Arabidopsis thaliana: one gene and its partners. The protein of the gene in region 1 interacts with the protein of each later gene in a pairwise test. Each region holds a gene or a part of one and is shown on either strand. Other genes may lie near its edges.

Region 1 (6,875 bases):
ATTTCTAGACCGTAAATCGTTCCTTGTCCTACAAGATTTGTTTTTTACTTTTTAGTTAAATCTCTTTTTGATAAAGGTTTCCTCTTTAGGTTTTTGTTTTTGTTGTAACTCTTGTTCTGCAAGTTAAAGGTTCATCACTCAGAGCTAGGTAGTACTCTGAGTATGAAGTCACAGATACTCCTACGTCGAACGTATAGCACAACCATCCCTCCTCCCACAGCAAATGTTAGAATCACTCATCTCTCTCGTATCGGCAAGATTCATGAAGCTCGGAAGCTTTTCGATTCATGTGACTCGAAATCAATCTCTTCCTGGAACTCTATGGTTGCTGGGTACTTTGCGAATCTAATGCCCCGAGATGCACGGAAACTGTTCGATGAAATGCCTGACAGAAACATCATCTCTTGGAATGGTTTGGTGTCCGGGTATATGAAGAACGGGGAGATTGACGAAGCTAGGAAAGTGTTTGATTTAATGCCTGAGAGGAATGTTGTCTCATGGACGGCGTTGGTGAAAGGGTATGTGCACAATGGTAAGGTTGATGTGGCAGAGTCGTTGTTTTGGAAAATGCCTGAGAAGAATAAGGTTTCTTGGACTGTGATGCTTATTGGGTTTTTGCAAGATGGGCGAATCGATGATGCGTGTAAGCTGTATGAAATGATACCGGATAAAGATAATATTGCAAGGACTAGTATGATTCATGGATTGTGCAAAGAAGGAAGAGTGGATGAGGCAAGAGAGATTTTTGATGAGATGTCAGAGAGAAGTGTGATTACTTGGACTACAATGGTCACAGGATATGGGCAGAACAATCGTGTGGATGATGCTAGGAAGATTTTTGATGTGATGCCAGAGAAAACTGAAGTTTCATGGACTTCCATGCTTATGGGCTATGTACAGAATGGGCGAATTGAGGATGCTGAAGAACTTTTTGAAGTTATGCCAGTGAAGCCAGTTATTGCGTGTAATGCTATGATTTCCGGGCTTGGACAGAAAGGAGAGATAGCAAAAGCAAGAAGGGTTTTTGATTCAATGAAGGAGAGAAATGATGCATCTTGGCAAACGGTGATCAAAATTCACGAAAGAAACGGTTTTGAATTGGAGGCTCTTGATTTATTTATTCTGATGCAGAAACAGGGAGTTAGACCCACTTTTCCAACATTGATAAGCATTCTTTCGGTCTGCGCCAGCTTAGCAAGCCTCCACCATGGTAAACAGGTCCATGCTCAGTTGGTTAGATGTCAATTTGATGTTGATGTGTATGTTGCGTCTGTTTTAATGACAATGTACATTAAATGCGGCGAGCTTGTGAAGTCTAAACTAATATTTGACAGGTTTCCTTCAAAGGACATTATCATGTGGAATTCAATCATATCTGGTTATGCCTCACACGGTCTTGGAGAGGAAGCATTAAAGGTTTTCTGTGAGATGCCTTTGTCTGGTAGTACTAAGCCTAACGAAGTCACCTTCGTTGCAACTCTCTCAGCATGTAGTTACGCTGGGATGGTTGAGGAAGGGCTTAAGATCTATGAATCTATGGAATCAGTTTTTGGGGTTAAGCCAATCACCGCGCATTATGCTTGCATGGTAGATATGCTTGGGCGTGCAGGACGGTTTAATGAGGCAATGGAAATGATTGATAGTATGACTGTCGAACCAGATGCTGCAGTTTGGGGTTCTCTATTAGGAGCGTGCAGAACTCACTCGCAGCTGGATGTGGCAGAATTTTGTGCGAAGAAACTCATAGAGATTGAACCGGAGAATTCTGGGACTTACATCTTGCTCTCCAACATGTATGCATCTCAAGGTAGGTGGGCTGACGTTGCAGAACTGAGAAAACTTATGAAGACTAGGTTGGTAAGAAAATCACCAGGTTGTAGCTGGACTGAAGTCGAGAACAAGGTGCATGCATTCACTCGTGGGGGTATTAATAGCCATCCCGAGCAGGAATCTATTTTGAAGATACTGGATGAATTGGATGGGTTATTGAGAGAAGCCGGGTATAATCCTGATTGCAGCTATGCATTGCACGATGTAGACGAGGAAGAGAAAGTCAATAGCCTGAAATATCATAGCGAGAGACTAGCGGTAGCTTATGCTCTTTTAAAGCTATCTGAAGGAATACCCATCCGAGTCATGAAGAACCTTAGAGTTTGTAGTGATTGCCACACAGCAATAAAAATAATCTCTAAGGTGAAAGAGAGGGAGATCATTCTAAGAGATGCAAACAGATTCCATCACTTCAGAAACGGAGAGTGTTCCTGTAAAGATTACTGGTGAGATTCAATAAATGCCAAGCAGAATGTTTTTTTTTAATCTTAGGCTTAGCTATCAATCCTCGTTGGAGCGTTGGCAAAATGGAGTAATTCTCGCAAACCATAGGAACTTGCTCAGCCATTGATGAGAGTTCTCTCTAAGTTCTTCTGCTAATATATATATATTTTTTTACTGATCTTGTTATCAATGTGCATTTGTAGCATTTTCTTCAATATGGTTAATAAGAAGTGATGAACAATCTTCAAGCAAAACTAGAATTCCATGACACATTTGTTTTTGGTACGTAGTTACTAACATTCTTTGTTGCTTATACAGAAACTGAAGAGCTCTTTGTCTCTTGTATGTATGTATGCTACAGAGAAAGATTCAAGTCTAAACAAACGTTAGTCTCAGATCCTTCTTGCTTTTCCTTAGAGCCATCATACTCGTTGGATGCTGAAGAGCTCTCATTAGCTGCTTTTTCAATGTTGTTGGCCTCTGCTTTATTCATGAAAATGAAATCTTCTGGCTGAAACGAAGGGAATCTACGAACCCTTGCTCTTTCTTCTTCTTCCTGTCTCTTCTTCTCCATGGAGCTGTTGACATATTTCCGCATTTCCCTTGCGTTTTTAAGCACTGTGTACAACTTCTCCATCTTTTCTTCTTCGTCATCTTCCTTCTCCATTTTCACCCTCTTTCTGTCTCTGTCCATTGAACCGCTCTCTCTTCCTTCCCCTATGAAAATGTTTCTCTTTAGTTACATCATTTTCATCCTACTTTGATCATCAACACATGATACATCTGGAAGAATTTTCTGGAGGAATTGGTGGAGAAGATATAATTATTGCCTCTAGTGGGAAGACTAACAACATGACCTTATCTAAAAGTCTCTCAGACTTTCTTCTTTCCTTTGGGTGGCTTTGGAGACTTTTCAACACTATTATGGACCCCACCATGATGGACATTCATATAGCAACATGACATACATGTGTACATATGTACAGTCTACAGGGAATGGCACAGCTTCAAGCTAAACAAACACACTTCACAATAACCATTCAGAATCACTCTCATTTGTTTGTTGCTGCATCTATGTTTCTTCTTCAGTCATCTGCCCATGGGACACCGTGCTTGGCCCAAAGATAGTATGCCGCAACTGGTCCTCGTCCACCAAATTCATACAACTCCGGAGCTGTGTGATGCTTGTCTATCTCTTCTAGAACCGGACTAAGAATGTTCCATGCTGCTGCAACCTCATCGCTTCTCATGAACAGATGATTGTCTCCGTCAATTACATCATGAATTAGGTGTTCATATGAGTCTGGTACTTCGGTTTTATACCTACAGGTTTGATCCAACAATTCAACCAACCATAAGGCGCAAAAGTTCGATTTTTAAAATGTGTAGGAACAAAGATGAGAATGCAAAACTTGCCTGTCTTTATAGAGCAAGTTAAGTTCAGAAGCGTCTAGCTGAAGACCTAAACCAGGAACCTTGTTGTTGATTTTCACCAGGATGGCCTCATCAGGTTCGTCACGTAGAATAAGCTCATTTGTCCCCAAATCTATGTTTATTCCAATATTTTCTCGGTATAGGTTTCCAGGAACATGCCGGAATTGCACATGAATCTCCACTCTTTCAACATTAAGGCACACCAATCAATTGTTATGACAGTTGGATATGTCTATGAGTAGGAATAATTATTCTTACCTGTGTTTAATGAGGCCAGTGCCAACTCTTACAAGGAAAGGTACACCATCCCAACGTGCATTATCAATATACAAGGCTGCTGCACAATATGTAGGGTCTACACCGTTCAAGATCACACCGTTCTTGTCTCGGGAACTGGATTTATACTGGCCAAGGATGACATCACGCGGGTCTATCTTGCGAATTGATCTTAAAACCTTCACCTGCAGAAGCAGGTTTGTCACCAAGTCACTTGACAGAACAAGAGTACACAACTTACATATATACCATAAGACGATTTTGTTCTTTACAGTACAGGTTGACCTTTTCATTTCGGATATCTTCACCATCGAGACTTATCGGAGGTTCCATGGCAAGTAATGCGATTGTCTGAAGTATATGGCTGTGCACTATGTCCCGTATTATTCCATATCCATCAGAAAACCTTAAAAAAAGCAGTAGGAAATTAGAAAATAACATTACTGATTTGTCTAAGAATGCTGAAACAACACAATTTACTCTCACATGCAAAGAAATGGTGAAAATAGAACTATTGTGCCTTACTTTTCTGTTTGCGCAATTGATTCTGATATAATAACCTGGAAACATCATTTATACACAAAGTGAACAAACCAGAATGTGGAAGAGGAAAGTTCAGGCACTATACACAACTACAAACAATCAGAAGGAAACACTACCTGTATATTGCGTATGTATGTTCTGTTCCATAGTGGTTCAAAAACTAGATTTGAAAACCTTAACACTGTCAGATTTTCAATGAGGTTTCTTCCTAACATGTGATCTATCCTGTAACGGGCACAGAAGTGTGAAGAAATATGAACTTGAGAGCTGTGCATGCAGAAAGCAACTAGATTTAAAAGAAGGACCTGTAGATTTGCTTCTCTTCAAACTTAGAGAGAAGTGACTTTGTTAACTGATGAGACGAATGTGAGTTAAAACCAAAAGGTTTCTCAACTATTATTCGAGTCCAGCCTCGTGGTGCCTGAGCGTTATCTCCAATGGTGCATGCCACATCCACCAGAGCTTCTTGAGGTACTGAGAGGTAAAAGATTCTATTTGCTTCTGATTCTCCCTGAAGAAGAAAAGCTGTTAATGTCTTATTCTATCTTGCTTGTCTGTTCAAAATGTTGTAAACTCAGAAAGAGGACTACTTCTGGGACAAAATGTAATCATTGAAAGAAAGAAAAAAAGGTACTTAGGAACCTCAATCTGTTTCATTCTCTCGGCAAGTCGGGACATCCCATCCCTGTTATTATAACCTCCATTGATATAGTATGTTCTACTCTGAAATGCATCCATCTTGCCCCCACAATTCTCCCTGAACATTTAGCATCATTCTTTAGCTAGCACGGCCGTATATCAGAGATACCAAATTTAAGGTAGTACCAAGAATTATACATACTGATGATCAACACGGCAAGTCAGCGTTGATGCAATGATGGATCTGAGGTCTTCATCTGTCAGATTCTTTCTTGAAACCCCAAATATAGCAACATCCTGTGACAATGAAGACCAATCAAGAAGACAACCGAAAAAAACTATCCAACTGTTTTGCTGCTTACTTTGTAATTGTTCATGAGCACAAAAGTCATACCTCAGGAAGGTAGCCGCTATAATACAACGCAAACAATGCCGGGAAAATCTTCCCTCTTGCTAGCTCACCAGTGGCTCCTACAACAGCAATGCAAAGTGAGGCCCTTCTTCGAACATCTGAAAGATCATCCGAGAGTTGTTTTGACACAGGTGGTAAGTCTCCAACATTGTGAAACCCATCATTCAAATCCGTTCCCAGAATATTCTCTTCTGGTCGTAAATCTTCAGCTCTAGTTTCTTCAGCAAAACCTGCATCACATTCTACCTCAGGAAGTGCTAAAGAATGATCAAGTGAAGACATGAGATGTAAATTGACTCATATCTTAGAACTAGACCTCGTTCATCATCGCTGAGGAAAGTGTGCTTTGAGTGTGTTGTAAGCTCGTTTACAGGCTGATGTTTTCTGTTGTTGCCTTGTCTACGATTCAAGCTCTTAAGTATCCACAGTTTCAAACCACAGAATCTCCGGCAGAGATTCGAGCCTCCTCCGTTGAGAACAAGGCTTCCACTTCTGGAGAAACTATAGTCTCTTGACGAAACCTATTCACACAAAATAGAGAAATTTCAACAACTAGAAATCAAGTTGATTTCGAAGGTCAATAATATACTAAAGCTTAGATTCAGAGGGCATGTAACACGAATTTGAGATCTTTGGTGAGATTGCAGAAAACATTAGCATAATCCAAGAAAAATAATAATCTTTGTTTCTCAAAGTAATGACCTTTTGATAAAACGAAAGCATGCATGAAAGGTAGAGCGAATACATGTGCTTACCGGAAAATTAGAAAAAGAGGCGGCGAGATGGCAAGAGCAGACGGAGGAAGACGGAGCCGTCGCTGATTGAGAAAAGGGAAGCAAGCAACTGGAGAGAGACATGAGGATAGTTCCTCAGGGATTATAGCTAAACATGTTCAAAGCTTTAAAGCTGCTTTAAGTGGATCAAAGTGGAAGACGAGTGCAAGTTTAAGTTTTCTGATTGACGCCTCCATTAATGGTTCCAACTTTCAGATAATCGTCGGGTTCTTCTAAACCGAACCGTACCGGTTGGTTCTCGAGGAAAGAGAATTGAATTTGTGGTTTAGGCGGGGGTGGGTAGGTTGACTTTCGATATCTCAACGTCAACGTCTCTTCTGGTCCCGCCGAGTCGGCGTCATCGTTGAGTTGGTGAGATCATCTTCTTCTCAACTTCATCGATCTTATCGTCTCGAAAATTGTCACCTTTTCTTCTCAGCTACTTCAGGCGGAGAAACACTTTCCGTGGTTTAGTGTTGAGGACGATCACTGTTTGTAATTCGATGGCGAGGAAGAAGATCAGA
Region 2 (5,631 bases), on another chromosome or scaffold:
GAAGAAGACGATGATGTGTAACTAACGATGATGGGTGAATGAATTTTGATTGGATCTTTTGTGGATTTGATTACAGAAATCAGAACGAGAGTTTCGAGTTTGACATTGACGGCCCATAGTAAAAGAGTTACCGGGCTTTTTATTCGCCGATTTGCCCCTCATACTTTTACTACTTTCTGATTCTTACCCCCTATTTTTACTCCTTTTTCCCAAATGTGAAGGTCTATAATAATTTGGTTATCAAAATTAAATTAAAGTTATTGAAGTAGATATTTCAAGTATAAAAAGAAAACACAAAAATGGAAAGTAATGTAAAACAATTTAAAGAATATTTGAATTTATGGCGCGAGACGCATTCTGGTTATTTTTTATTATAACGGTAATTTTATACCGGACAAATTAAATATACTTTATATTATTATTTGTTAAAGTTTTTTTTTATTTTTATAGAAAAATAAATTTAAAATCTCGTACTCAATGATTTTTATATGTTGACATCGTTTAGTAAATCTAAACTTAAATATACCTTATTAATATATAACAGTTTGACTTATTTTACTGAAATTAGATATATCACCTATATGTATGTCATACATTATAAATATATACGAGATATATTTTAATTTTATATAAATTTATCAGCATTTTAGTACACGCAAATGTAGTTAACCGACTATTTTTCATTCATATAAAATAAAACGATTATATTTTTACTTTAAAAATTTATCAGTAGATTGTAATTAATTAGTTTAATGGTTTTTTTTTGTTTTTTTCTACAGTATTAAACTTAATTATATGAAATCAAAAGTTTTTTTCTATAAAAAAAAAAGAAAAAAAAATTTGAGATGTGTATTTAACGATAAAATAAACAAAATTGCAATGTTTGGTTAAGTGGTCCAAAGAAAACTATAATGGGTGAAAATAAGCGCCTACTAAAATTTCAGGGACGAAACATGACATTGTCACTCTTTGAGGTAACAGATGGGGTCCTCTTGCCCGAATTCGGATAAAACCAGTTTAACCCGACCCAGATCTATGCGAACCGACCCGGTTTGAAAAAAGGCGTCGGACAATCCCCAATCTCTCGTCGTTCGACGGGGCCATTCGTTTCTCACTTTCCGGTTTTTCTTCGATTTGCAACGTTGTGAATGCTTACACATCTATGGGTATGTTCTTGCTTTGTTAAAAAGCACGGAGCTTTACGTCCTTCTCTCAAGAATTTCAGTATCTTCCATGAAGTTAGTAAATTTATCTGTATTTATATGATGAGATCATAACTACGCAAATTAATAGTGTTGTACATTGTTGCACAAGATGTCTCTTTTGAGTTCGACTAATAATTCAATTTTTAGACGAATCCCTCAAGCTAACAAAGGAAATCAAAGGCTTTTCATTTCCTGTGTGATTATCATAAAAAGGTTGTTGCACTCTTCTAAAGCTTATTTGTTCTTCTCAATTCCAGCTGAAACCATTTAAATCAAACTGTTTAGGACGCGTTGTGCCATAGTTTTCGTCGTGTGTGTTAAGATCTAGAGCTGTTCTTGTGTGTGTTTCAAGCTTGCAATCTTCATTATTCTCGTTGAATCTTTCTTCTGTATACTCACTGTTGTTGCTACTCCTTCCTCTGTGTTCATGTAATCCCACTCCTATTGACAATCTTCCAGGACTTCTTCTTGAAGACGAGATTCTCGGTTCTGCGTTGTTAACCATTGTTGAAAGATATGGCCTGTTGTGATTCTCTCTGAGGCTTTCTTCTTCTGCCCATGTGAGCTCCATTCTATGGAAGAATGGCTCTTCCATTATCTCTTTCTGCTCTGAAGTTGAATCTCCAATATATGTTCTTAATCCCAGTCTGTTGTCAAGCATCTTTGGGGCTTTCTGAGTTCCTTCACTTGAGGTTAGGCAACTGTCCAGGGAGGAGTTAGGTGGATACGTTTTTTGCATCTGTTGATGGTGTAGATTCTGCAGTTCTTTCGGTTCGAGGAAACTAGAGTCTGGATAGTCTGCTGATACTTTAGATACTAATTCTGAGAGTTGAGCTTTTGTTGCTTCAATCCCAGCTGCACCTAGGTTCTGTCTTCCAAGAGTCTCTTGTGCTTTCTCCAGAATCGATTGCAGGTACTTTCCTTGAGCCTCTATCCTGAGCTGCAAATGTCGCTGTACCTGGCTCAGTTTTAAAATATTTTTAATGAAATCGTAACTAAATGCTCTGTTCTCTGTTTCTATATAGTTCATCTCGCCTCTATTGATACTCTATACTTATGATTTTCACTGATCTATGTGTTTCTACAATTTTGAGTATAGTTCTGTAAATTGTTCCTATTTTTTTCCATGAGAATTAATGAAACCAGACTCATCTTGATTGGTCTTGTTAGAACAAATATAGGAACCGAAAATTCCAACACTGATAGCTGCTTTGAACATGGTGAATGCACAGAGTACAGTATATGATAGATACCTCAAGTTGCTCGTGTAGCCGTCTCTGGACCTCTATTTGCATTTGAAGGGCATCACTTATGGGTAAGTTCCTGCGTGCACAAATATAGGTCATTTTTGAGAATCTACTAAGGTAGAATATGTAAGCAAATAGGCATATCCTTACATGCTCGGCTGTGGTCCAATGCTTAAACTCTCACTGTGACTTTCGTCTACTTCAGGGGGGTTTTCTTCTACCATGGTCATCACACCTAAACCAGGTTGCTTTTAGTTTACTTGAAGGAAAATAGTATGAAAAAAGAATGAATCTTTAGATTAAAATATTTTTGTATCTGAGTAATGAATAACTAAGCTTACTTGTCTTGTTTAAACTGCTGTTAGCTTGTCCATTAAGATTCTTGCTTAGCCTATATTTCTGGTAGTCAAATCATGATATTAATAATCTTTGTAAAACAAAAAACAGATATTACAGATTTTTCATATCTTGACATATCGTCATTTTTGTGCTACTTTAATAGTTTTCTACCAATCGAATTGATGAACGAGTCATGTAAGTTTAGGGCCTTGGGCATATGACTGTATAAAGTGTTGATGGATTACCTGAAGATGACTCTTGAGATGGTATAAGGTAAGGCCTGGAATGCCCATGACTTTCATGATTGTCTTAGGAGTAGCCTCTGCGCAGACAAAAGTATACACATTAATACATTATGTTCAAAAAGCCTGATTGTAAAAGATGGTTCATTTGCTTATAAGATAACTTACTATCTCCTCCTCCAAGCTGGTTGACCGCTTCAACAAATCTCTCGTGAAGATCTGGAGTCCATTTTAGTCGTGGCTTTGCATCAGTGGAGAGAATGAGTCCAGAATCTCCTGTGCCATTTCCTCTGAGGAACGGATGCCTTTCAGAAGAAATGGGCATTCTCGATGAAGAGAGGATGCTCTTTCCTTGGTGCTGGTTGTGGTAATACATAAGTCTGTCTTCAAAATAAAAAGGTAAGCTTATCCCACCTAGCAATACTGCATTAATAATGAGTGCAAAGACCAAATGTTTTTCTTTTACCTGACACAATCTTTAGTTTTTAATTGCAACCTGCTACTCTCAGTTCAGAGATACACTATGGTTTGCAACTCCACCAACTTGGGAAGATGTCTTTGCTGCTTTCCTTATTTATGCTCTTTTTCTCAGGCCGGGGTCTCTCAAGAGTAAAAAGTCTTTGCAACTTTGCTTTATATAGAAAGTTGAATGGCAAAAAGGCAAATTAGAGGATGATAACTAAGGTATGGAATATGAATAACTGGTCCAATCGTTGCTTTGTTATTTGTGTTCTTATCGTTTAAACTGTACCTTGTGTGCTTACATTATTTTTTCTAGTTTTGATTCCTCTGGACTACAACTTTTCAGTGCAATTAAAGCCTTGCATTAGATACGAGAATTGATCCACAATTAATGCATCATATGCGCATTCCTTCACCATTCTGGTATATGAAAGTATCTTATTCTCCAAATCTTTTTGACAACTTTTCTACTTGGGCAGGGGAATTCATTCTTTTTCCTTATTCCTCAATTTTTTCAAAGTCCACAGCTCCAACCTCTCTATCTCTTGAGGTATATTCTCAATGCTTTCCACTTGTCTGTATTGTTTTTGTTCCGACTTGAAAGTCATTTTTTCAGTCTCTACATACATCTTAAATCTATTAAAACTTTAAGTTAGGTTTTGACCAAAATCAATAATGGTTTATTTGGCCATGTTTCAAGAAAATATAGTGATTATGTTTGTATTATTATATAGCGTAGAATACCCAGGTTTGTGATATGCATAATGCAAGGGGGGTGAAAGTTTATGTTTCAACATTGATTTTTCTTGAAAGATAATTGAGAAAGCGAATGTAGAATATTTCTTGCTGTCTCCTTCAACAAGTTTAGTACCTATTCTCTCTAAATAGTATAAAAATTAGTGGGGGGTCCATATCTTACACTCTTTGATTGGCACAACATATTTGGCTCATCCATGCATGTGTTAATCTATGTATGTGTGTAACCTTTCCTGTCTGTTCTGAATGCAACATAACATGTCTTCAGTGCATATTTGTATGTATTGTTTGTGTGTTTATGTGTGCATACATGTACATATTTACATGTATATATGTATAAGTTCGTGAAGCATATATGCATCTAATGTTTGGCTGGTTTCTTACAGTGTACTTCCTTGAATCTACTTTAGTGGTGAGTACGGCTCTAAATTTTATCATCATTCATATTATGGTGTTGGATGCGAGTTTGATTTGGACTTCACTATTATATTTCTACTGACTGATTAAGTGTAGAGATACTCTCCTATATGATATACAGCTATATAGAATAAGTTGAGAGATAAAGATATATAAATATACAAGTCGTGATTGCCAAATGCTGAAATTATGGCTTCTCTATGTGCAATTGAGAATATATCCACTATCTAGTATAGAGTCTCACATATCTTAATGAGTTTGATAGGTGCCTTAAAAAAAAAAACTAGGTAGAAATATGGTCTATTGTTTGAAAGGAAAATGTCAAAAAAACAAATCTTATGTTCCTTGAATGATATCTTTGCATTTTTCAATCTTTTTTTGGTGAAATCTCATGGTTCTGATTTCTCATTAACACTTTATTCTGTTTGGTGAAGAACCTTTTTCATAACCTTCAGTTAAAAGTATTTGAGCATATTGCCTAAATAGTTGATTGGCATGTGAGTGGGAATATGCTTCCACAAAGAGAGGCTTCATATTGTGTGCTGCAAGTTTGAAAACTCTATTTGTATACCATCAAAAGTAAATTAGACGAAGCAAACAATTTATGTTGAACTCTTTTGATTGGCTTCTCTTTTGTCAGATAGATAATCCTCTGTTCTATATCAAATGTAGTTTCAGAAAAGATCAAATTTTGTGTATGCTTTTTGTAGCAGGTTCTGTTCCAGATTTTGGACTACTGTGTTTTTCTTCAGAACTAGAGCTTAAACGATATGTTATCTTGGTCACAATTGTTATACTAGTTTGTGCTTAATTATGTAGTCTTTCCCCTTCTTCAGTGAAAGAAAAGAGTGATACAGACAAAATGTTCTTCCTTGTACGTTCATTTCCCTTTGACAGATTCTTGTTCTTGTTTACTAACTTTAATCAGTGTTTGATCTTCCATAGGGAGCATAATTCAACACG
Region 3 (3,389 bases), on another chromosome or scaffold:
TTTAATTGTTAAGAAAAATCTTGTTATTCATGGAAAAAGAAAATAAGTTTTTCTTCAAATTTTATTAAACATGGTATGATTAAATTTATTTTTATACTATAAACTATATAATCTCTTTTTCTAGCTTAAAGTGAGCTGGAATTTTCTTTAAGAATTTTAAACCATTTTCTTACTCAAGTTTTTTTTTTTAATCTAAATAAAGGTTAAATAGTATTTTTCTCTAAATACATATTAACCAATCTATAAAGTAAAAGAATTTAAGGGAAAACTATTAAAAGTTTATTAAAGTAATTTTTATTTACACAAAAATTAGTTTCTTATTCTTTAGATTTAGTTTTCCTTCCTTTTTTTTTTCTTTTTTTTTCCTTGAGAATCTTGAAAATAATATATATATATATATATTAAAATATATATCTGTGTATTAAGAAATATTAAAATAGATGTATGAAGCTAAATACAGAAACAAATCTTAAATAATTATTGTCCAGCTAAGTGTGAGCTGGAAATTTCTTTAACAGATATAAAACCACATTCTTACTCAATTGTTCCTTTTATTATCTCTTTAATTTATTTATATTATAGTTTTTGATATCCGTTTTTAATTAATGTTTTCATAACCGTTGGAACCTTTAGGTTCGAAAGACAAACGAATTTTGACAAATTAGAAAACGGAAATAAATAACTGTACATAAAAGTTATGTTTCGGTAAATATTATGACAGAATTATTTATTCTAGAATACCAACGAAATTGTTCGTGTCCAAAAAAGAAAAAATGAATCAAATTTGTTGTGAAGAGTTTAATTTAATCCATTGTTGAAATCAAATTCTCTACTAAACTTCAAACATGGACAAACAGTTTTAAATTACATCTATAATTAATTTTAGGTATTATTATTCATCTTAAAAAAACATGAGCATACAAGAAAAAAAGACAAATGGATACCGATCGAACTAAAACAAACCCTAGTTCAACTCTCAAACTGAAAAACATGAAGAGGAAAGAAAAAGCAAACAGAAACGAACTAAAACGTCCAGAACTGAACACTCTTAAATCTCCAATATTTATTTTAAAGACTCCAAATTGGCCTTCTCAGCGACGCCGTCTCCTCCTTCACAAGCTCAAACTGTGGTTGTGGCTGTTGTTGTTGCTGCTGATGTTGTATCACTGGCGGTAGCATTACCATTAAAGGTGGAATTGTAATTATCACTAATAGTACTGTAATTAGTTGAAGGTGCATGATCTGTCATTGTAGAAACCGGAAACACCATCTGACGATGACCAGTATTTACAACCGTACAAGGGAAAACGTTATTACTAATATTATCACCATTAAAGGTGTAACTAGGAAAATTCCTATTTGGCTGGATATCTTCATTGGAGGTGGTGGTGACACCATGTCCCGTGGCTGCGAAAATGGCAGGCTCGGCATTCTGGAGGAGCCAACTGACAGTTTCACCATCGGTTTTAAAGCCGAGTTCTTTTGTCAATCTAAATAGTTGGGGAGCAACACTCGGCGGGATCCGAATGCGACGATCACGGCCACCAATTTTCAAATGGCGGTCTTTTGGAGTCCTTCTTGCCTTTTGGCTGTTGTTAATTCCATTTTTCGAATCCATTTTTCTCTGTTTTTTTTTTCTTTTTCTTTTGTAAATGGAAGTGGAAAATATGTTTGTTTCACTTGGATTATATAGAAACGTTACAGAAAACTCTATTTCTATTTATGTTATGTATGGAAAACAATAATGGTGTAACAAACTAATAATTAAACTAATTGGTAAATAGAAGAAATCTTAAATTTATATAGGTATATTTGAGAATGAAATATTATCATGTAATATAATATGTAGTATAGAAAATATATTTAGTGGACCTGAAAAAAAGAAGTTATATTGGAATAATTAATTGATAGGTCCACTAAAAAAAGGAAAATAAACCTTTCTTCTGGCAGTTTACAGAAATTATTATTTACTGATACAACTGTACAAGTATAGTCCTATTTTATCCTATTTTAATTTTTTTAAAGTTAAGGTTTTAGTTTTTTTCCTTAGAAATTAATGATATTCCAACATTGTTATTTAAAATATTATATTGTTATTTTTAAACTAGGTGTTTGGATAGGAGTTCGCATATTTTTTTTTGGACGGTTAATTTGTTCTTCAGATATTGTCTATTTGTTTATTTATCAAACTATATTTCATTTAGGGTCAAATTCCCCGGACTATCAATTCTGAAAATAGAGATTCAGACTTAAAAATATATATCCAGAAAATTCCCTTAAGCTAACCCATTCGGGATAAAAAGTTTTTGAGGCTTAATCCCACCAGATTCAAGCCGGCCTAAAAAAATTTTAATTTTTTTTTTTACTTTTCTTTTGTTAATATTTTTCTTTAATTGGAATATTTGTTTTTGTTTTTTTTAATAGTATTGAAAACCCTAAACCTAGTTTTTCAATTGTGCCTTACTATAAATCTAAAAAACAAATCTTGGCTCGACTGTCTAGATTAAAATCTTCTGATTTTATATTTTATTTGTTATGAGTTTAAATAAAAAAATTAGATTATTTTTTTTGATTTTAAACCTTTTTTTTTGAAAATAAACTGGCTTTCATGGTTATTTAAATTTCAACTGATTTGTTTTGTTCATATATCCATCTTTCAGAAATATTATAAATTATAAATTTGTTTTTTTCTGGAAAGAAAAACATAAAAAACCTGGAAAAGTCTTGTCCCTGTTATTACCAGATCTTGAAATATAAGTTCAAATTTTTTTATTTCAAAATTTTTACTAACCGAACCAGACTAAATAAAATATATTCGAATTTTCTGGACTTTGTCAGACTGGACTAGTCCAATTGACATGTCTAAACTATTATAATAAATTATTTGTATGTAAGAAAATATATCCAAGTAAAATGATGGGTTACAAGACAGATGGTTTAGAAATAACCTGATATCATATTACCCGACTCTTACACATACTTTGTTTTCTTAAAACGGATAAGAGTTGGATAACATACTGTATATTGTTTGGTCAGCCTTACTGTTTTCATTTCCAAACTGACTTTTCAAATAAAGAACTAAAAAAAAGTCATCACCATCATTTTGAGCATGTTTCTATAACTCAAGCGGAACACTTTTAGAATTCGTCAAATCAAATATATTTTGACTCATTTTAAATCAAATATTCACTTTTACGAGAATAATTAACGAATTCTATCATCATTGAGCTATGATTTCATACGTATACCTTATAATTTAGATTATACTCTAAATTAGTGTGATGTTAAAAATTCAACAAATATTTAACCCTCAAACACTTACCGAGGTACTGTGTAAATGACTTCTTACATACTATTGAGCGTTCGAATTAATTGATCAAATAGAGATT

The links. Proteins that work in one complex are often made in the same cells at the same time.
Region 2: the proteins of NIMIN-3 (region 1) and MYR1 interact in binary tests that used the Arabidopsis thaliana proteins (3 or more experiments, as listed by UniProt).
Region 3: the proteins of NIMIN-3 (region 1) and TCP16 interact in binary tests that used the Arabidopsis thaliana proteins (3 or more experiments, as listed by UniProt).

Annotation. Positions count from the first base shown.
Region 1 is NC_003070.9:3,035,281-3,042,155, forward strand, and holds NIMIN-3 (NIM1-interacting 3), read right to left. Parts: upstream 3,129-6,875; 5' UTR 2,969-3,128; coding exon 2,630-2,968; 3' UTR 2,474-2,629; downstream 1-2,473. Other genes in the region: AT1G09410 (pentatricopeptide (PPR) repeat-containing protein), read left to right, coding at 163-2,280; G6PD4 (glucose-6-phosphate dehydrogenase 4), read right to left, coding at 3,360-3,597, 3,691-3,891, 3,967-4,163, 4,234-4,390, 4,510-4,544, 4,644-4,752, 4,833-5,038, 5,170-5,284 and 4 more; ACLA-3 (ATP-citrate lyase A-3), read left to right, coding at 6,855-6,875.
Region 2 is NC_003076.8:6,027,165-6,032,795, forward strand, and holds MYR1 (myb-related protein 1), read right to left. Parts: upstream 3,639-5,631; 5' UTR 3,500-3,638; intron 3,433-3,499; exon of another isoform or gene 3,418-3,432; 5' UTR 3,410-3,417; coding exon 3,202-3,409; exon of another isoform or gene 3,114-3,201; coding exon 3,037-3,113; exon of another isoform or gene 2,852-3,036; coding exon 2,794-2,851; exon of another isoform or gene 2,688-2,793; coding exon 2,603-2,687; exon of another isoform or gene 2,529-2,602; coding exon 2,459-2,528; exon of another isoform or gene 2,164-2,458; coding exon 1,453-2,163; 3' UTR 1,121-1,452; downstream 1-1,120. UniProt on the Arabidopsis thaliana protein: Transcription factor that may act on the GAL1 promoter. Acts redundantly with MYR2 as a repressor of flowering and organ elongation under decreased light intensity. Represses gibberellic acid (GA)-dependent responses and affects levels of bioactive GA.
Region 3 is NC_003074.8:16,529,408-16,532,796, reverse strand, and holds TCP16 (TCP domain protein 16), read right to left. Parts: upstream 1,619-3,389; coding exon 1,121-1,618; downstream 1-1,120. UniProt on the Arabidopsis thaliana protein: Required during early processes in pollen development.